Linked DNA regions of Drosophila melanogaster. The protein of the gene in region 2 interacts with the protein of the main gene of each other region in a pairwise test. Each region holds a gene or a part of one and is shown on either strand. Other genes may lie near its edges.

Region 1 (7,499 bases), on a different chromosome or scaffold from region 2:
TCTGCTGGGCGCTACATGTGTTGTAAATTTATGAGCTGTCATATAAATCTTTGCACTTGGGCACCCTTATGCGATACGTGTGTGCCCCGAATTGGAGGGGCGTGGCGCCTGTTTGAGGGCTGATAAGAAATGTGGGATACTGGAGGAACCCTTTTACGCTCACAAATGGGGGCATTTTTCATTTGCATGCATGGTTACTTGAGGAAATTCATAATTTTTATGCCAGTCCTAGGCCCATCTAATTGGGTACAGAGACTTAGTTGCCAGGGTTGTCACTCTCATTTGTTTAATTAATATTGCCACCGAGCTAAGCATTTGCTTGCCGACTGCCACATGTGCACTTTTCTTTGGGGCTTGTCAGCAATTTGCAAAGTGCTGGTCTGAGATTTTTCCACTTTACAAATCCAAGAAGTCGCACCTTACAACAAAAGTTTAAATGAATATGTGAAGCTTATATATAATTTAGCCATTTCATAGATACCTTGAATGTCTTCTATAATGTTTTGTAAAGTTAATATAATTTTATTAAATGCTTTGCTTTAAATACATTATATAAATAGATAATATTTACTATAACATTATATTTTGGCACGCTTTTTCTCCGCTCTACCAGCTTCAATTTCACTGGGTCTCCGATTGTTCGGCTTGCTTGAGGGGATTGCCCTTGTCGTCGATCTCCATGGACGGCACCAAAGGGGGCTTAAATCCATACTCCAGCTGAAGATTGCGCCCGAAGTCGGGACTGCGCTTCAGGGAGTGTCCGTTGCGCCATCGCTGGAACTCATCGAACTCGCTGGTGAGCGGGGAATCCCCAACGTCTGAGTTCGCAGATGTTGGAGCTGGAACGACGCCAATGTAGGACTTAACCATTTTGGTGGGAGTCGAGGCGGCGGCGGTGGCCAAATCGGCGGGAAGGGTATTATAGATATATCGGGATCCCTGCAACCAAGGTGAGCCCTGTGGCGGCGGTGGAGGTCGAAGGTCGAATTTCATGTCAGCCAAACTGAAGGTGGCGACCTTGGGCGCCTCTCCCCTCACGGGTTTCACTGGTTGCTTGATGGCCGCCACCGGCTTGCTCAACTTGACCGCTTTGGGAGATTGGGGGATAGGGGTTTTGGCGGTGAGCTGTGGCAGCAACTTCTTCAGCATCCGTGTGTAATAGTTTTGCAACACTTTCGGTGGAATGTGGGCAACGGAGTGGGTCCAGGGCGTTAGGGAATTGGGGTGGGAGTAGTGGGGAAATGACAGCGAGGAGTGTCCCGGCGGCATGGGCATGTGAATGGCCACGGGGACATGTATCGGAATCGCCATCGGTCGGTCCACAAACTTTTCCACAATCTTCTCCACATGCACGGGCTTCTCCACAATGCGCTCCACCTCAACGGGCACATGCTTCTCGACGATTTTCTCCACCACCCTCTCCACGGGATATGGAACGGGATGTTCGACAATGGTCTCCACTGGGTACGGACGATCCACGTAGTGCTCCACGTGGACAGGCACGGGCACAGGTTGTGGAACGGCATATGGTATGGGTATGTGCTTCTCCACCACCTGTTTGACATGATGATCGTGGTCTTTAAGTTTTTCCACGTGATATGGCTGCAGTGAGGGATGCTCATGATGCTCCAGGTGATCTTGATGCAAGTGAGGCTCATGCTCTGGCTGAGGCTCATGATGGATTATGTGATGATCTTGATGAATCTGATGTATCTGGGGCTCCGGGTGTTGCTCTGGTTGCGTATACACTGGACCTGGGTGAACCGTTTGTTCACTATGACCTGGAGCTGTGAGTCCGGAATGATTTGTATCCAAATGGACGGAGGCATGCGAGACGGCCACTTCCTGGGGCGTACTATCGTATTCCACGTGAATAGGATTTTTAGCCAGAGATGCGTAACTCTTGGAAGGATCAGGTGCCTGCGAAAGGTGATTCTGCGGATATGGCTGGGGGTAAATGGTCTCGTGCTGCTCCACCAATCGGCCATCCTTCTCCGTGATTAGCTTGTTGTGGATGTTCACAGACTTCTGAACCTCCACAAAGGTGTATGGAGTGGACTTCTTTGGAGCTGGAGCTGGAGCATGTTGGATGATGGTCTGGGAGGGCTCGGCATGAGCCTCGGCAACGTAGTTATGGGGAGCCGGGTGATTCACTGTGATCTGGACTCCTGGCTCAAATGGCGTATGCGCAATGGATGGTGCCGCCGAGGAGTGGGGTGGACTTGGAGTGTTCAAGGTCACAAACACCAGACTATTTGGAGTGGCGGAAACGGGTGTGGGACCTGCATAGCCAGAATATTGCTGGACATCCGGCGCAGGCGACGATATGGCCTTGGTGTGCAGCAACTCCGACTGCTGCTGCGGCTTGCTCTGCTCTTGTGGTATCACCTGGCTAAGCTCCTGTTGATAGGCCAACTGGGCAGCAGGTTTCACAAATTGGCCGGCGTAGTCTCCTTCCTTCGGCGTCCGTGGATTCGGGCGCTGTGGAGGATTCTGCACCTCGTAGTGGAAACTGCCCTTCGGGAGGGGTCCGTCGCCACTTCCGGAGACAATGGGATTGAAGCTCTTGAGGAATTGCCGTGATGGTGCCTCTTGACTGGGATGATGCTGCTGGAATCTCTGCTCACTGTGCGCCTGGAAGTGATCCAAGGCCTGCTGCGCAGGCTGCGACTGGGACTCCTTGGGTGTCTGAAAATATGTGTAATATGTGTATTATCATTTCGGATTCTCCAATGCCATCCTACCTTTGCCTCTGCCTGCTGAGGTTTTCCCTGTGGTCCGTCGTGTACGATGTGCACATTGATCTCCTGATCCTGACCGGGACCCTTTTGGTTGGCATAACTCTCGATGCCATTGAAATTTGGAACTGGAACTCGCTGCTGGTAGGCCTCCCGGCCCACGTGGCGTGTCTCCGCAATCTGGTTGTCATTGATCTCCTGCCCCTCTTCCAGGTCCGGATCGTGTTCGCCCAGGATCACAATTGGAGAACTTTCTGCTGCCACTAGAGTCTCGTTGTCATCGCCCTCCGGTTGGAGCAGCACACTGGGCAGCACTGGAGCCGCCACAGCAGCTCGATTGATCCTAAGCAGCTCATCTCGGGAAATGTGGTTACTGCCATCTCGGAATCCCGGATCCCTAATCTGCTCAACCACTATCTCCGTGTGACCTGGTCCCAATTCTCGACGGTATTCCTTCGTCACTGTGGTTTGGTAACTGTAGTAGGTGGCATTCGGCGCTGGAGGCTTCGTTTGCTTTTCAGTGCTGGCTGCCTCTGTGGTACTGACCACATCCACAACTGTTGGCCGGACCACCGCCTTATTCGTGGTCGTAGACGTGGTGGTGGATGTATCTGTATTGCCACTAAATCGGAAAATGTCCGAGAATCCCTTGGGGAACAGATTGGACAGCACCTCGTTCACGGTTTCCGTTCGCGAGCGGGTCACTGTCTGCTCAATGGGTCTTTGTCGACGAGCCACTTCCACTGGCAGCTCATCGTTGATCTCGAACTGGATGTAACCATGTCCATTGGTGGGACTGTCTGAATCTTTGGGAGGCAGAGCAGTGGGCAGAAAGCCTGGAACACTGTAGAAAATAACCCTCTTGTTATTTATAATTATTTGCATATTTAAGTTGAAAGACAGCAAAACTATCTTTAAGATTTTTGATGAAGCCTTTTCATTTTTCCTTTTGACTGTTGACTTACCCGACGAACTCCGTTTCGGTTTCTGTTTCTATAGGATCTTCCCCTTCCCGTTTGAGTTCCCTCTCCAGATCCGGATCCACGCGCACTTCGTCGGCCAAGTTTGGACCTTCGATGACCTCGCGGATGAGTTGCTCGGCTGGCTGCTTATTAAGCTGTCAAAAGCGACGCTCATTGCCTGTCAAAATCTTTCACTAAACTCGGACTTACCTCCTTGCCGCTGCTGTCACTCAGGGCTTCAGTGGCCGCTGCCTCCACCGTCAAATTCTGGGGGAGATCGCCAGGGGCCGAGACTGCTGCTGAGGATGGTGGTGTTGATGAGGATGTAAGGATGGGGGGCTCATCCGAAAGGGCCGGCTGGACGATGATGGCCAAGAGACAGCAGAGCGTGGCTGCCGCCGTTAGCAGATGTCGTTGGTGGCGGTGGGGCCACATGGAGCTATTACGGAAATGGCCAAAAGCAGAAAGAGTTAGCTGGAAGTTGTTGGGCTTTTTGGCGTGCGAATAGTGGTATCGATGCTGGTGGTGGTGGTGGTGGTGGTGGTGTGAATAACCCCGGCGACCACGACAAATTCCAAGCGACAAATGGAGGAGTCGTCAAGCCTGTTTGGGCCCGCTCCAAAGGCCATCCAATAGCCTCCACTTGAAACCAAGCCACTCGAATCCACTGCACTCCACTCCACTCCTGACTACTATGGCCACTCACTTGTCGGGCTGTTTGATTTTAACCGATACGTCGCTGGATGATGATTTTTCCTAAGTGGCTGCCAAGGCAGGCACTTTGGCGCTTCTCTTTCTCCTTTGCTTTAAAAGAGATTTTCCCTAAAACGTTTGTCGTTTTTCCTGCCAAGTTGTTGAACTTGGCGCTGCGTTTGCGCTTGGGGCTTATGTCATTGCTACTGGCAACGTAATGAATTATTAATTAACCCCCCCCCCCCAAAAAACTCCATTGAACCCCTTCTCCCCCTGCCCGCTGCAACAACGCATTTAATTTGGAAAATTGAAATTGATGGCGTTTAAAATGGTTCGTACGGGTTTTCACATAGTTTGGCCACTGCGCCTGTATTTTGATAGGCATTAAATATGCATGCCAAAACATATTTCACCTGCAATATTCATGGCTAAGTGGCCCGTGGCGCTTTGCAGCCGGTCTTGCAGACTATCTTGTTGGCCAAATAACACAAGAAAGTGGAGCTTTCAGTAGGGAAATTGTGGCTTTAATTGGGCATGGATAACGATCTGAACGGAGCTATTAAACGGGAGGCATTTCATATGCATATGTCCTAAGTCCTTTCGATTGGCAATAAATATAAGGCACCTTTGATGATGGTGCTGCCTTCACTGAATATATCCATACAAGTCCTTTGCGTTAAATCACAAGCAAATTGCATTCGTTACTAACTCAATTTGCACATTGAAATTATTCTTGCTTTACGCCCGCAGAGGAAATGCATTATAATTTGCGCAGCTAAATGGGCATTTAAAATATATTCCGCTTTTTGCATTTACCTGCATCCATTAAATACTGCGCGATGGAATTTATTTATTCGTGTTTTGTCGTAGAATTTGTATGCGGCCAGGCCAAATGAAATGAAAACACTCAATTATTTATATTGATTGCCGCACAATTAAAACGCACTTATAATCACTTTTCTATTCGATTAAAACAATTGTAATTCGCCGCCGAGCTCGTCTGCAATGGCACAAAAGTGTATTTCTCTTCTTATTATTATTTTATTTTCGTTTTTTTTTTTTGGCGGGGAAATCGAACTCGATGCAATATCGGTTTTCAGGTGCTCTTTTCGTGCGACCCTGCCAGTTGCGCGTGCGCGTTGCGAATGAAAGTGAAACCGTGGGGCACTGAGCATTTCGTTTTCTTTTCATCGTCGTGGGCTGCTGCAAGTTGCTGTCGTCGCCGATGTTGTTGCTTCTGCTGCTGCGACTGATTTTGCTGCTGCTGCTGCGACTGATGTTGCTGCTGCGATCCTTAAAGTGTAGCACAAAACTTGTCCATCCAGCGATTGCGCAAGCGACGCTGTCTTTTTTGCTCCTTCACGTCAATGACAATTTGGTTTTTATGGCTTTCTACGACGGCAGCATTGACCCTGCCGAAAAATATATACAAAAAAAAAACAAAAACCAAAGAAAAAATGCAAAACTGGTAAGAGCGCGGGAAAACTTTTGAAACTGGTTTTCGGCCTGGCAAATGCCAGAAAGGCATGTGGCTAAATCCGCTATGAAAGCCCTTGTCGTGGCCTAAACGCCCTTTGCCACTTGTTTTTTGGCTCGTTGACATAAATATCTTGCCGCATTTCCTTGCCCCATAAACACCTGCAGCGCAATTATCGCATTCAGTTTACACACCTGTCGGTTCGATCACCTTACGAACGCATTGTTTTCATACGCTTTTCCTCCGATTTTCCACCGGAGTGTTTTCATTAATTTTTAATGAGTTGCCGTTGTTGCTGTGGAGCGTTTGACGTTTTTGGCTGATTGATTAATGTGAATGCGGTTTTGCGTGCGGCGGCACAGCGGTGGACTTGTTTTTTTATTTCTGTCTGATTTATTAAAATGCGTCTTTTTTATTAATGCTTTGGTAATTCATTTTATTTATTGCATATTTAATGCTATCGTTTTTCTTTTGTTTTTTGTTTTGTTGTGCGCGCTTTGAAGATATTTTTATTTTTTATGACAAAATTATGTGAGTCGAGGAATTGCATGAATTTAAATGGTCATTTGAACAGATCATTTAATTTTCGAATGGCAACCATTGCAGCAACTTTTCAATTCCGAGTATTACATCAGTTTAGTATAAATTTAATTTACCAATTTATTGATTTGTCATGCAACAAAAATGTTTGCTATTTTAATTAAAATGCTTTATTTATACCTATTTCAGGCAGCATTACTTTTTTATTTTGTAGTTGGCAAGATAACTACCAAAACAAATGTGGGGGAAAGTGGGCGTTCTGGCAGAGCTAATGCCTCCATTACCCGAACATATAGATCCAACGATCATTTTTAGTGTGATTTATGCCATCCGTAATCGGTAAGCTTCTTTATCTGCGTGCATCTCATTAAAGACATGTTGCATGCCCCATGTACACACAACTGACTTTCACCCATGAGGCTGGTGTGGAGAACTGGAAACTGTAACTTGTAGCCGAGATCACCATTTCGGTTGGCATTTCCTCCGGCCTTTTCCGCACCAAATCGCACCAAACCCCAACGACAATTATGATGAAAAGCCAGGGGGGGGGGAGGGGTTGATTGCATAAGCCAAGCAAGTGCGGGAAAATGCGAACCATAAATTGCCGTGACCAGCAACTACTGACTTGGCTAATTTTTGCCGGATCAGCATTTCGGTAAAATTGTAACAGAAGTCACCTGGAGTCGATTTCCTTCCGCCCAAGAAAAACTGGTCGCACTGCAACAGCACTGGAAAATCAACGAAATCTCTGAAATGCCTTGTGACCGCAAACGAAATGGGACAATAAAATCATGTTGAAAAAAAAAGAAGGAAATCGCTGAAATGGCGGAAAAATCTATTAAAAGCAATTCGCTTAATTTCGTTACCGGACCGGCATTGCTCATATTTACTTATTGTACTTCCCCTCAAACCCTCAAAAAGCCCAGTCGGCCGGAAAAGTCGGTGGGATGGAGGTGAATGGGGGGGCGTGGCAGTCGGCTAATTAAGTGCGCAGGGCAAATGAAATATATGTATGTAGGAGAGGAAAAAAGGTAATTACAATCAATGGGGAGTAGAGTCCGGTCTTCATCCTCAGACCAAAAGCCAATT
Region 2 (5,128 bases):
AAATTATATTTTTAGATTTCTTACGCTCTCAGCGGGAGTGAGCCGAAAGAGAGTAATTTTGGCCGTCACCAAAAAAGTGGCTGCATAGTGCCAAACCAATGTATGGCCGTTACGCATCTTGTTATTCTAGTGTCTTTGGTTTGGCACTATGCAGCCACTTTTTTGGTGACGGCCAAAATTGCTCTCTGTCCGCTAGCTTACGCTGAGAGCGTAAGAAATCTTAAAATAGAACTTGCTTGCTTGAGTAAGTAAAAACAAGAGACGAGAACGCGTATATGTGTGCGTGTTGTTCTAGAAGACGATTTCGGGCCGAAATCAATTCTGACCGAAGAAACGAGTTTACATATTTGATGAAATTGCGCGCTGTTAAAAATATCAAATTGAAATATAACAAAAAAAAAAAAAAAAAAAAAAACTGGAACTGAAAAACAACTAAATCTAATGTGCATTTTAAATAACAAAAATTTTACATACATCATATTAAGTCAAATGACTTGAGAAATATACTAAATATATACGGAAATTATTATAACAACTTTAATTTAAAACATACATTTTCCAAAAAGAAGACATTACATTGAGAAATAAATATTTCATAAAAATAATACGAAGTAGAAAACAAAAATATATAAAAATAAAAAAAATATGTAAACTGTTTATTGCAAAAGTCATATCATAGACACTAGAATTATTCTAGTGTCTTTGCTTTGGTCATATCTTGAGCATGCAAAGGAATGGCTATTACAATATAATTTGATTAGTATGCTACGCAAACCTCTAGCATTTTGATAGGAAAAAGATTCGGACAAAGATTCGTTGTCAGTTTTTTGAAGAAGATGAAGAGGCGGATGGTGCAGTGGTCTGGCCATGTGAGGAAAGTTTATTTCCCACGGGCCCCTTTTTCCTATTTTTGATCCTAGCTTCAAAATCTTATATATCTTATGTCCATAGCGTAAGATAAGTTAAATTTTTCCACTTTTATATTACTTTTATATTATCGACTTTTGTTTTGTCTTGCATATAAGACCATACATCAGATGATTTTTGATCAGGTGAAAACCGAGAAACGAAAGTTTGTTTCTTAAGTGGAATCACCGCGAGTGGTTTTGGCCCTGCAGATTGTATTTCTGAAGTGCCAACTTGTGCCGGGAGTCCGGACTCAATGTTCCCTTGTGGTGGTAAACTAATCGGGACAGGTAGAATCACTGGTTAAGAAACCAGTGCAGACAATTCGGAATCTTTAGCAATCCCAGGGTGGGCTCCCTCCACAGCGGATTGATCGGATTGCTCCAAATCTTATTTAGCTGCCGATCTTAGCAACATATGCGGATTTTCTACGATTGACAGCTGATCAGTTGTGGAGTCAAAATAACATGTCAACCAGATATATTCGTATTCCTAATATTCCTGTAAATATCCTTGAATTGAACAGAAGAACAAATATATCGGTTTTACTTAAAAATTAGAATATCAAATTGATATGCATTGATCACGGTTTTACATTTAGATTTTAAAAGCTGACAGTACGTCCTAAAGGGGTTTACCACCACAGAGCAGTTGCTCGAAGGAGTTCTTTTCAATCGAATGTGCCCTGTGCAAGTGCCGCATTACGGTTCTACGGTACAATATTGGCATAAAACTTCCAAGTGGAAATAATCGATCAAACATTATCGATAGTGTTTCTATGTGTGGCCCAGCCAGATACACATATAAAAGGCAAATGTTTTAAGGCCAGAAATTCGAAAATGAAATCACTGAAGAATTCTGGTATATAATAGGCTGTATGCTATATTTGCATTATATCACATAATTTCTATTTATTTAATCTGGACGGAATTTGTTGTAATTTGTCTAAGATAAACCTTAAACGGAAATGGATACATTTGACGTTTCTGATAGGAACAGGTAATTTAAGATCAAGTGAAGATTAAACCAAAAACTATCAATTGTTTTAACATCAAAATGTGTTCTTAAAGCTGGTACTTTGGTCCCATGTCTAGACAGGATGCTACTGAAGTTTTGATGAACGAACGCGAGCGGGGAGTGTTTTTAGTCCGTGATAGTAACTCGATAGCAGGGGATTATGTACTTTGTGTAAGGTAAGTAAACAAAATTAATACATTCAGACTTTGATTGTGTACTTATCGTTTCATTTCTGTTAGCTAATTTTTATTTTAAAAATTAAACTAAAAATTGTGTATAGTGAGAAATACTTAATGTCAGCCTTTCTTAATCGCAGCTTACCATAAAGGTTTATATAGAAATTCCTGTTTCCATTTTAAGCATGTATACGTGTTTTATAGATGTACTTTAAACATTTATCTGTAATTTTTAAATATAAACAAATTTCTTACATTAAAAAAGGATATTCTTTTTAATAGACCTGGGTGAAAAAAGTAATAAGAAAGAGAAATCTAAAAATTTTTATCAATTTTGTGTGTTTCAGTTTTGGGAAACCTTAAAAATTGTGTTTGTTTTATTATTTCTTTCCCAGAAAATTTTTGAAATTTCTCTTTCCCATTCAACTAGCTGAGTAACGGGTTCTCTCTTGTTTTGTTTGATATTTAGATCCAATGGCAAGGGTCTATGGTCAATTTTGTATTTCTTTAATTTAGTATGGAATGTACCTTTAAGGACGATGATAAAATGTCAATGATGATCTCTCATAGCCATTGCAATTTAGTATGTTTTTAATATGTGCGCCATGTATTGACGGGGTAAATAAATTGAAGAATTTAACGACGTAAACAAAAATAATTACGAATTAAAGGAACTCAATTTCTACTGTATGTCTCGCCACGCGGCATTTATTAAAGAATTAGATGAATAAACGTCTCAAGAATATTCTTTTTGATTTTAAAAGTTCTTTATTAATATAAATGTATATACATTAGAATATTAAAAATAGGTTTTCATATTTAAACTTGAAACAAATTTTTGTTTAGTTTTTAAGGATTTTGCGCCTGTTATAAAAGAATTGTTTACTTATAAAGATTTTTATTATTTAGAGAAGATACAAAAGTTAGCAACTACATCATTAACAAAGTTCAACAACAGGATCAAATCGTTTACCGCATTGGGGATCAGTCTTTTGACAATCTACCGAAACTCTTAACTTTTTACACTCTTCATTATTTGGATACAACCCCTTTAAAACGGCCTGCGTGTAGAAGGGTGGAAAAAGTAATAGGAAAGTTCGATTTCGTTGGCAGCGTGAGCATTTACACAATTATTCATTTTTGTAAGTAATTTAATTTTCTTATTTATCAAAGGATCAAGATGATTTACCTTTTCAAAGAGGTGAAGTTTTAACAATAGTTCGAAAAGACGAGGATCAATGGTGGACTGCGCGTAACTCCTCGGGGAAAATTGGTCAAATACCGGTTCCCTATATACAACAGGTGCGTTAAGCAAATATTTGGATTTGTTATCCTTTTTTGTAACGGGTAACCCGTTTTTAATTTCTTTGTTTCCTTATAACGCTGATGTTAAAATACTACACTTGAAATGAATGGTGAATTCGGTAAAACCAGTCGCGTCAATTTTTATGGAATGCAAATAAAACTTTCGATACGGCGACACTAACGCTAGGATATTAATAATGTAAAATCAGAAAGAAACCCGAAAACTAGTGAGACGTATAAGGGTCAATAATGTCAAAGAGTCGCCAGAAGTAAATATGTAAAAATATATGTATGTATGTAAAAAATGTAAATTGAGCTCTTTTCCCCACGCCTATTTTATGACTAGCGGGTATCTGATAGCCGAGAAACTTGTTCAGAAATAATTATTGAGTTCATGTAATAATACCCTTAAATTGTTGCGATTAGATTCTTTAAAGTCTGACTACAATCTCAATACATTATAAAATCCATTACAAAAACCATTTGCATTGAATTAAACTGACAATGGACAAGCTCCATTGCCTTCAATATATTCGTCCGCTTAAATAGAGAAGGCCAAATTGCGAACGACCTTTGATAAATAAGTTTGTTAAAGGCATTGATTTTTAAAAGTTAAATCATTTTCAAATTTGTTCTTTTCAGTATGACGATTATATGGATGAAGATGCTATTGATAAAAACGAACCTTCCATTTCGGGATCTAGCAATGTATTTGAAAGTACTCTTAAAAGGACAGATTTAAATGTAAGTGTTCCAAAAAAGTATTTAAAAAAAAAATAATGTTTTACATTTTAATTTATCGAAGCGAAAACTACCTGCATACGCCCGCGTAAAACAGTCAAGGGTCCCTAACGCATACGATAAGACTGCATTAAAATTGGAAATAGGTGACATTATTAAAGTCACTAAAACAAACATTAATGGGCAATGGGAGGGAGAATTAAATGGAAAAAATGGTCATTTTCCCTTCACGCACGTTGAATTTGTCGATGATTGTGATTTAAGCAAAAACTCCACAGAAATATGCTAAATAGGAAGGAATGGAAGGAATTTCTTTTGATAATTTTGATTTTTGAGCTAATTGTATGATTAATAAGTTGTGCATACCAATTGTTAACATAATCAGAAAATTAAAATCTTATTAAGTAAAATAAAAATAAACGGGTACGAAGGACATAATAAAATTTTTACCGTTTTTTCGTATGATTCTTATACAAAAAAATTATGAATTTGAAAATCGATTTGGTTTTTTTTATGAATTGTGTAACTAAACGGTAGGTGCTACAGAAAACCCTTTGGGCCTTATATTTTTTATACCCGTTACTCGTAGAGTAAAAGGGAATACTACAATAGGTTCGTTGAAAAGTATGTAACAGGTGGAAGAAAGCGCTTCTGACCATATAAAGGCTGTTCAATATACAAAGACCCCAAAAGCCGGATACATCTCCGAGTAACGCCAGAACGCCAGAAGTTTTTTTATCACCCGCAAAGAGGTCCTTATTTGGCCCTTCGACCACCTTCCAAAATTTGATATTTCCAAACGTCCATAATTCGAGGCTAACAGAACCTACCTCTAAGGCACCAACTCTACAAGCTGCCCAAACTAATTTGACGTCGAATCCTTAATCACCGACGCATCACCAACGCAGTATTAAAACTATGACATATACTTTGCAGCATCATATGATTTCATTCATGTCGTTCGTGTGGATTATCACGCAAGA
Region 3 (5,303 bases), on a different chromosome or scaffold from region 2:
CAAAGGGTGAGTTATAAATGACCATTCAGAGTGGAAAGGGTTACTAGTATTAGCAACATTGCTCTAATTTTGAATTTTAATAACACTCACAGATACAGATATTGAATAGGAACAAATTAGGTTTTCTGGCTCTATAAAGAATAGATATTCTTGATCAAGATCCATACCTGAGTCGATCTGGCCATTTCCGTCCGTCCGTTCCGACTTTCAGTAACTATAATAGCACATTAAGCGGTCATATTCTAGCCATGTCTACAAGCCGGGTGGCTTAGAATTGTGTAATTCAATGTTAAATTGGTAGATTTTTTCCATACTTCTAATTTCTAGATCGCGAGCGGGCCGAACTGGAGCTGAAGGAACTTGAGGCGGCCTACTGCCGCGAGCTGGAAAAACTGAAGGTTCTCAGGTGCAAGGCACAGCACTACCAGCAGAAGCACGCAGCCCAGCGAGCTGAGGAGGAAGACCTGATTTCCAAAATAGAGAAGGCGAAGGCTAGTCGGGCGGAGCACTCTGCAGTTCTGGAGAAGATCGAGCGCGAACTAGATGACCAGCGAATGAAGCTGGACAGGGCCAATCGAGAGATCCGGACACAGTTGCGGGAGATCAAGGCGCGGCCCTTTAGCGAGGAGTACCTGGCGCAGTTCGAGCGGGATCTGTCTCTACAGGAGCTGGAGGCGCGTAACACCAAGGCGCTGAACATGATCACCGATCTGGCGAACAGCGACGAGAGCGGCACGGATATAATTGGAATCCTCTTGCGAAAAGGAATCAAGTTGCCGATGCACCTGAAGCGCACGTGCAGCCGCGTGTCCTGGAACAGCAGCTCCTCGGGCAAGTCCTCGCAGGGTCAGGACACCGCCTCCTACCTCAATGTTAAGGGCAAGAAGTTCTCCTGCGACGGGGCTAGTGCCCGGTCCTCCGTCTCCGACATGAGCTCCCTTAAGGATGACACATCCTCCACAACCTCCCACTCCGGACTGAGCATCATATCGCTTGAGTTGCCCTTGCCGAAGAAAAAATAATAGTCTAAAATATATTTATTTATTATTCCGTTCGATATCCGATGATCTCAACCCGTATGCTCGTATCTTCACGTGTTGGCATCGCAGTGTTTACAAATTGACCATCTAAACGAAACAGCGAATAAAATGCGTTGCCCAAGCGGGTCAAAACAAGAGAGCATCGCGGCCATAAAAATAGCACACAGCGATTCAGTGGGGGTATAGCTCGGTGCACATACACATAGGCGGACAAATGTGTGTGTCTAGGCGATTGCTTGTTTAAATCGCTGAATAGTAAATACTCTACAAAAGTATTACACAAAATATGTATATTAGCTACCACCTTTGGTGTGGGTTTTGTATTGGTTTTGATCAGATCTCAAGTAAGCTCATTACAGCATTAAGATTTAGACGGATATGCTAATTCAATCTGAAATACTCAATCTTCGTATTTTCCTAATAAAGAAATATATATAATAATAATATTTTCTCAGTTCTTATTTACGAAAATGAAACGAATGATTTTCACTGGTCCGAAACTAAAATCGAAAGAAGAAATCTCCAATAAGAGTACATATTAATGTGTTTACTTTTTATGGAGTGCTTAAAAAATGGAGCGACAATTGCAGTAACCAACCATATTCCAATTGGATATTGGCGGAAAAGCCAATTATTAAACCAATCTGGCGATAATGATAGATCTCTAGATAAGTCCCGCAAATCGCATGTGGTCATCTCAGCGAATTGCTCCTGCGCATCGTGCGTTACAAAGACTAGAACGAAGGCTATATGGCCGCCAGTGCAACATATATCGGCCAGAAATAATTCTACATACATATAGTATATAGCCGTGCTCAGAGCTATATTTCGAAATGAGCTACCCAGAGACACGGAGAAAAGAGACTGCCTTGTTCGAGAGATGGGATTTCGGTGCTGCGAGTGTTTCCGAAAGTCTTCTTGACGATTCGACGATCCGCGCCGGGCATTTCATTATTTTTCATTATTTCGTTAGCTGGCATCGGTGCCGAGAAGTCAGATTGCTGGGCCCAAAGTTTTCAAAAATCTTCACTTGCTGATATTTTTAGAAAATTTTGAAAGCAGAAAGACTAGGCAGTCTGGGAATGGACTCCTGAATAGATGATCACAGACCGAACAGGAGGATAATCCCAATAGGAGGTGAAGCATTTGCATAAGATTCGATTGAGTGCACTGGCGAAATGTGTTCCACCTCGGTGCTGTGTCCGCTCTGCGCGGTGCCCAGTTTCGGCAGTATTGACGCACTGCAGCAGAGGCTGATCAAGGCGGCCAACGGCCCACTGGCCTGTCCCTTTGCCAACTGCAAGGAGCTCTTCCTGGGGCTGGACAAGCTCACCATCCACCTGTTCTCGCACACAAGTCTGATGGCTCAGGAGGGAAACGAGAGTCCAGCGAATGGCCAACCCGCCTCGTCCCGGGGCTTCCTTGCCGCAGCTCCTCCCAAACGGAGGGCCAAGCGAACCAGGTCCAAGCCCGTCGTCCCAACCCCACCGCCTGTGCGGACCACCCCGCCCGCCCACTGCGACATTTGCGAGTTCAGTTTCCGGAATACCGAGCTGAGGGACATGCACGTCCGCTTAGTCCACGAAAATGCGGAGGGAGAACCCAAGCAAAAGGAACCCCAACAGAAGGAACCGGTAACTATTGGCTATGTACATATATTAAGTGCTATTATCTAAAGAGTTTCGTAATGCACTTTCGCATATTCTTATATCGATTTTGATTTTTTTTTTCTATGCTCACTGGCAGCAAAAAAAAATCATACTTAAAAAGCTAGACCATTTACATTGAATCTGAAACAAAAGTTTGACGTAATTAAAATCAACAACAACAAGAAAGAAATCTATATACCCTTATATTTTAAAAACAACTGATGTATGTACGTATATCGTTCCCATTATTTTCAATTAATTTTTCAACTGTTCATATGACTATGTATATATATGATAGATATTAATTTGTTTTTGATCAATTTAAAACCATGGCAACTTTGTGATATAGTGAATGAAAGTGAATGATTTTTGTGCATAAATTTGAAACTGAGAGACAGACGGTAATGTAATGGAATATTTGGCCATGAGGGCATATTGATGAATTGATAAATATAAGTGAAATTCCGATTATTGCTTTATACAGGACCAGGAGCCCTACAAGTGCCATCTCTGCTCCAAGACGTTCCGAATGAAGGGCTCCCTTCGAATCCACCTGAAAGTAGTGCACATGATGGGCGTGCCCTGCTCCAATCCCAATCCAAATCCTAATCCCAGTCCTACACCCGCTTCTACCACCAGTGCAGTTACTGCCACGCCCAAGCTGAGCATTTGCGATCGCATTCGACACACAGAGCCTGGAGCCCTTGGCAACGGAAATAACTCCACGTGCACCGCATCCCAGCCATACGCGCTGAGTGGGGCGCTGAGCATGCTCCAGCAGTCCCCCAGTTCGCCGGAGTCGGGCACGGCCACCCCGAAGCTGTGGGAGTGCGATGTGTGCAGCAAGTCCTTCACCACCAAGTACTTTCTGAAGAAGCACAAGCGGCTCCACACCGGCGAGATGCCGTACACATGCGAGATCTGCGCCAGGACCTTCACCTTCCAGCAGTCGTACCACAAGCATTTGCTCTACCACAGCGAGGTAAAGCCCCATGTCTGCGGGGTTTGTGGACGCGCCTTCAAGGAACTGTCTACGCTGCATAACCACCAGAGGATTCACAGCGGCGAAAAGCCCTTCAAGTGCGAAGTCTGCGGTGAGTATCGATCAAACCCCTTAATTAGCCGCCCCTTATTTTGTTAGCCAGCTTATAAATGAGCATACTCCATTGCGATTTGCCCTATTTACTTTAAATGAAGGAGAGGTATACCTTCTTTTCCGGGTCACTCCATGTCTAACCTTTTCGTATTTCGGACTCGTCCACAGGCAAGTGTTTCCGGCAGCGAGTCTCTTTCCTTGTCCACACGCGCATCCACACGGGAGTGATGCCCTACAAGTGCGAGCTCTGCCAAAAGACGTTCAGGTACAAGGTCAGTCAAAGGACCCATCGATGTCCCACCGAGGAGGCCCAGACACCGGAGCAGCTGATAAAGGCGTTCCTGGAGGGCAACGACTCGCATACTCAGCCTTCACCAGCGAGCGCCGAAATAGCTGCCATCAACAGCAGCTCCATTGTGGATCCTGAGCAGGAGGCACTGCTTTCGCAGTCAATCGACGACATTGTCGTTGAGCAGTGCCAAAAGCTGGGCATCTGTGGTGTGGAGCCGCGGGAGGAGGGACAGCTCATATCCCTACAGCCGGTTGCGGTGGTACACTTCAGCGGGAATGGCTCTCCGCTGCAGCAACTCCAGAACTTGAGAATCTACTCACCGCAACAAACAGAGCTACCTAGTTCCGATGGCGAAGTCTTCCAGCGCTTTTTGATGGACGCCACGTAGTTGGAACGAAGATGCATATATCCACTTAATTTATACCCTTTTATATCATTTTACATTGTTTGCACTTCCCCAAAGGCGATCTAATCAATTCCTAAGCACCCCCTAAGAAAAACGTCTTAATTACATCTTCTTATGAGGATATTATTTGAATCTTAGTTGTTTTATCTCAGCCAAGTGTAAATCGACTAGGACCCGACTTGTTTGCAATACAACAACAACATCTAATATAAATTATGTTAAACTGCCGATTTTATTTAAAACTATTCTGGGCAACGAACCCGAGCGCTGAGTTGAGGCGAAAATGATATTAAATCGAGTTAGTTCAGTTTTCAAATGTACTTGGTTGATTATAAACTTATTTATTATGAACGCCGTTTTTTGTAATTAATCATTCATCTGAGGCGCTTCCAGAGCTGGATCCTGAACCAGAAGGCGAGCCACTGCGAGACCGGCTGGGCGATCGCGACCCAGAGCCAGATCTGGAGCCCGAACGTGATCGGGAACCGGACTTGGATCTCGACCTAGAACGCGACCGAGAGCCGGACTTGGAACGGGATCGGGAACGTGATACCGATCTCGATCTGGATCCGGATTTCTGGGATCCTGCCGGCGAATTTGTGCGTGATCTGGAGCCGCTACCAGACCGAGAACCAGACTTTGAGCGGCTGCTGGCCCGAGAGCCGGAGCCAGATCCAGATCCTGAACTGGACCCGCTGCGAGTTCGACTCCGAGAACGAGACTGTCGATCGCGGGCTACCTGGGCGGGTGAGTCCGCTCCAGATGCTGCCTGTGCGCCAACAGCTGCGTCCTCGCTCGTCTTCTCCGTCTCGCCAATGAT

What was found. Proteins that work in one complex are often made in the same cells at the same time.
Region 1: the proteins of Crk (region 2) and CG6280 interact in a two-hybrid assay, tested with the Drosophila melanogaster proteins (one large-scale study listed by BioGRID).
Region 3: the proteins of Crk (region 2) and CG14655 interact in a two-hybrid assay, tested with the Drosophila melanogaster proteins (one large-scale study listed by BioGRID).

Annotation. Positions count from the first base shown.
Region 1 is NT_033778.4:13,751,980-13,759,478, reverse strand, and holds CG6280 (uncharacterized protein), read right to left. Parts: upstream 5,516-7,499; 5' UTR 5,210-5,515; intron 4,140-5,209; 5' UTR 4,136-4,139; coding exon 3,911-4,135; intron 3,856-3,910; coding exon 3,704-3,855; intron 3,583-3,703; coding exon 2,745-3,582; intron 2,689-2,744; coding exon 622-2,688; 3' UTR 508-621; downstream 1-507.
Region 2 is NC_004353.4:208,582-213,709, forward strand, and holds Crk (Crk oncogene), read left to right. Parts: upstream 1-1,642; 5' UTR 1,643-1,781; exon of another isoform or gene 1,782-1,856; 5' UTR 1,857-1,873; coding exon 1,874-1,905; intron 1,906-1,976; coding exon 1,977-2,099; intron 2,100-3,008; coding exon 3,009-3,213; intron 3,214-3,272; coding exon 3,273-3,401; intron 3,402-3,533; coding exon of another isoform or gene 3,534-3,599; exon of another isoform or gene 3,600-3,693; intron 3,694-4,046; coding exon 4,047-4,148; intron 4,149-4,209; coding exon 4,210-4,434; 3' UTR 4,435-4,584; downstream 4,585-5,128. UniProt on the Drosophila melanogaster protein: Adapter protein which interacts with C-terminal portion of mbc, homolog of human DOCK180. May play a role in cellular processes throughout development.
Region 3 is NT_033777.3:4,776,990-4,782,292, reverse strand, and holds CG14655 (uncharacterized protein), read left to right. Parts: upstream 1-1,990; 5' UTR 1,991-2,218; coding exon 2,219-2,674; intron 2,675-3,173; coding exon 3,174-3,783; intron 3,784-3,953; coding exon 3,954-4,465; 3' UTR 4,466-4,796; downstream 4,797-5,303. Other genes in the region: Ccdc39 (Coiled-coil domain containing protein 39), read left to right, coding at 1-6, 328-1,022; atms (antimeros), read right to left, coding at 4,854-5,303.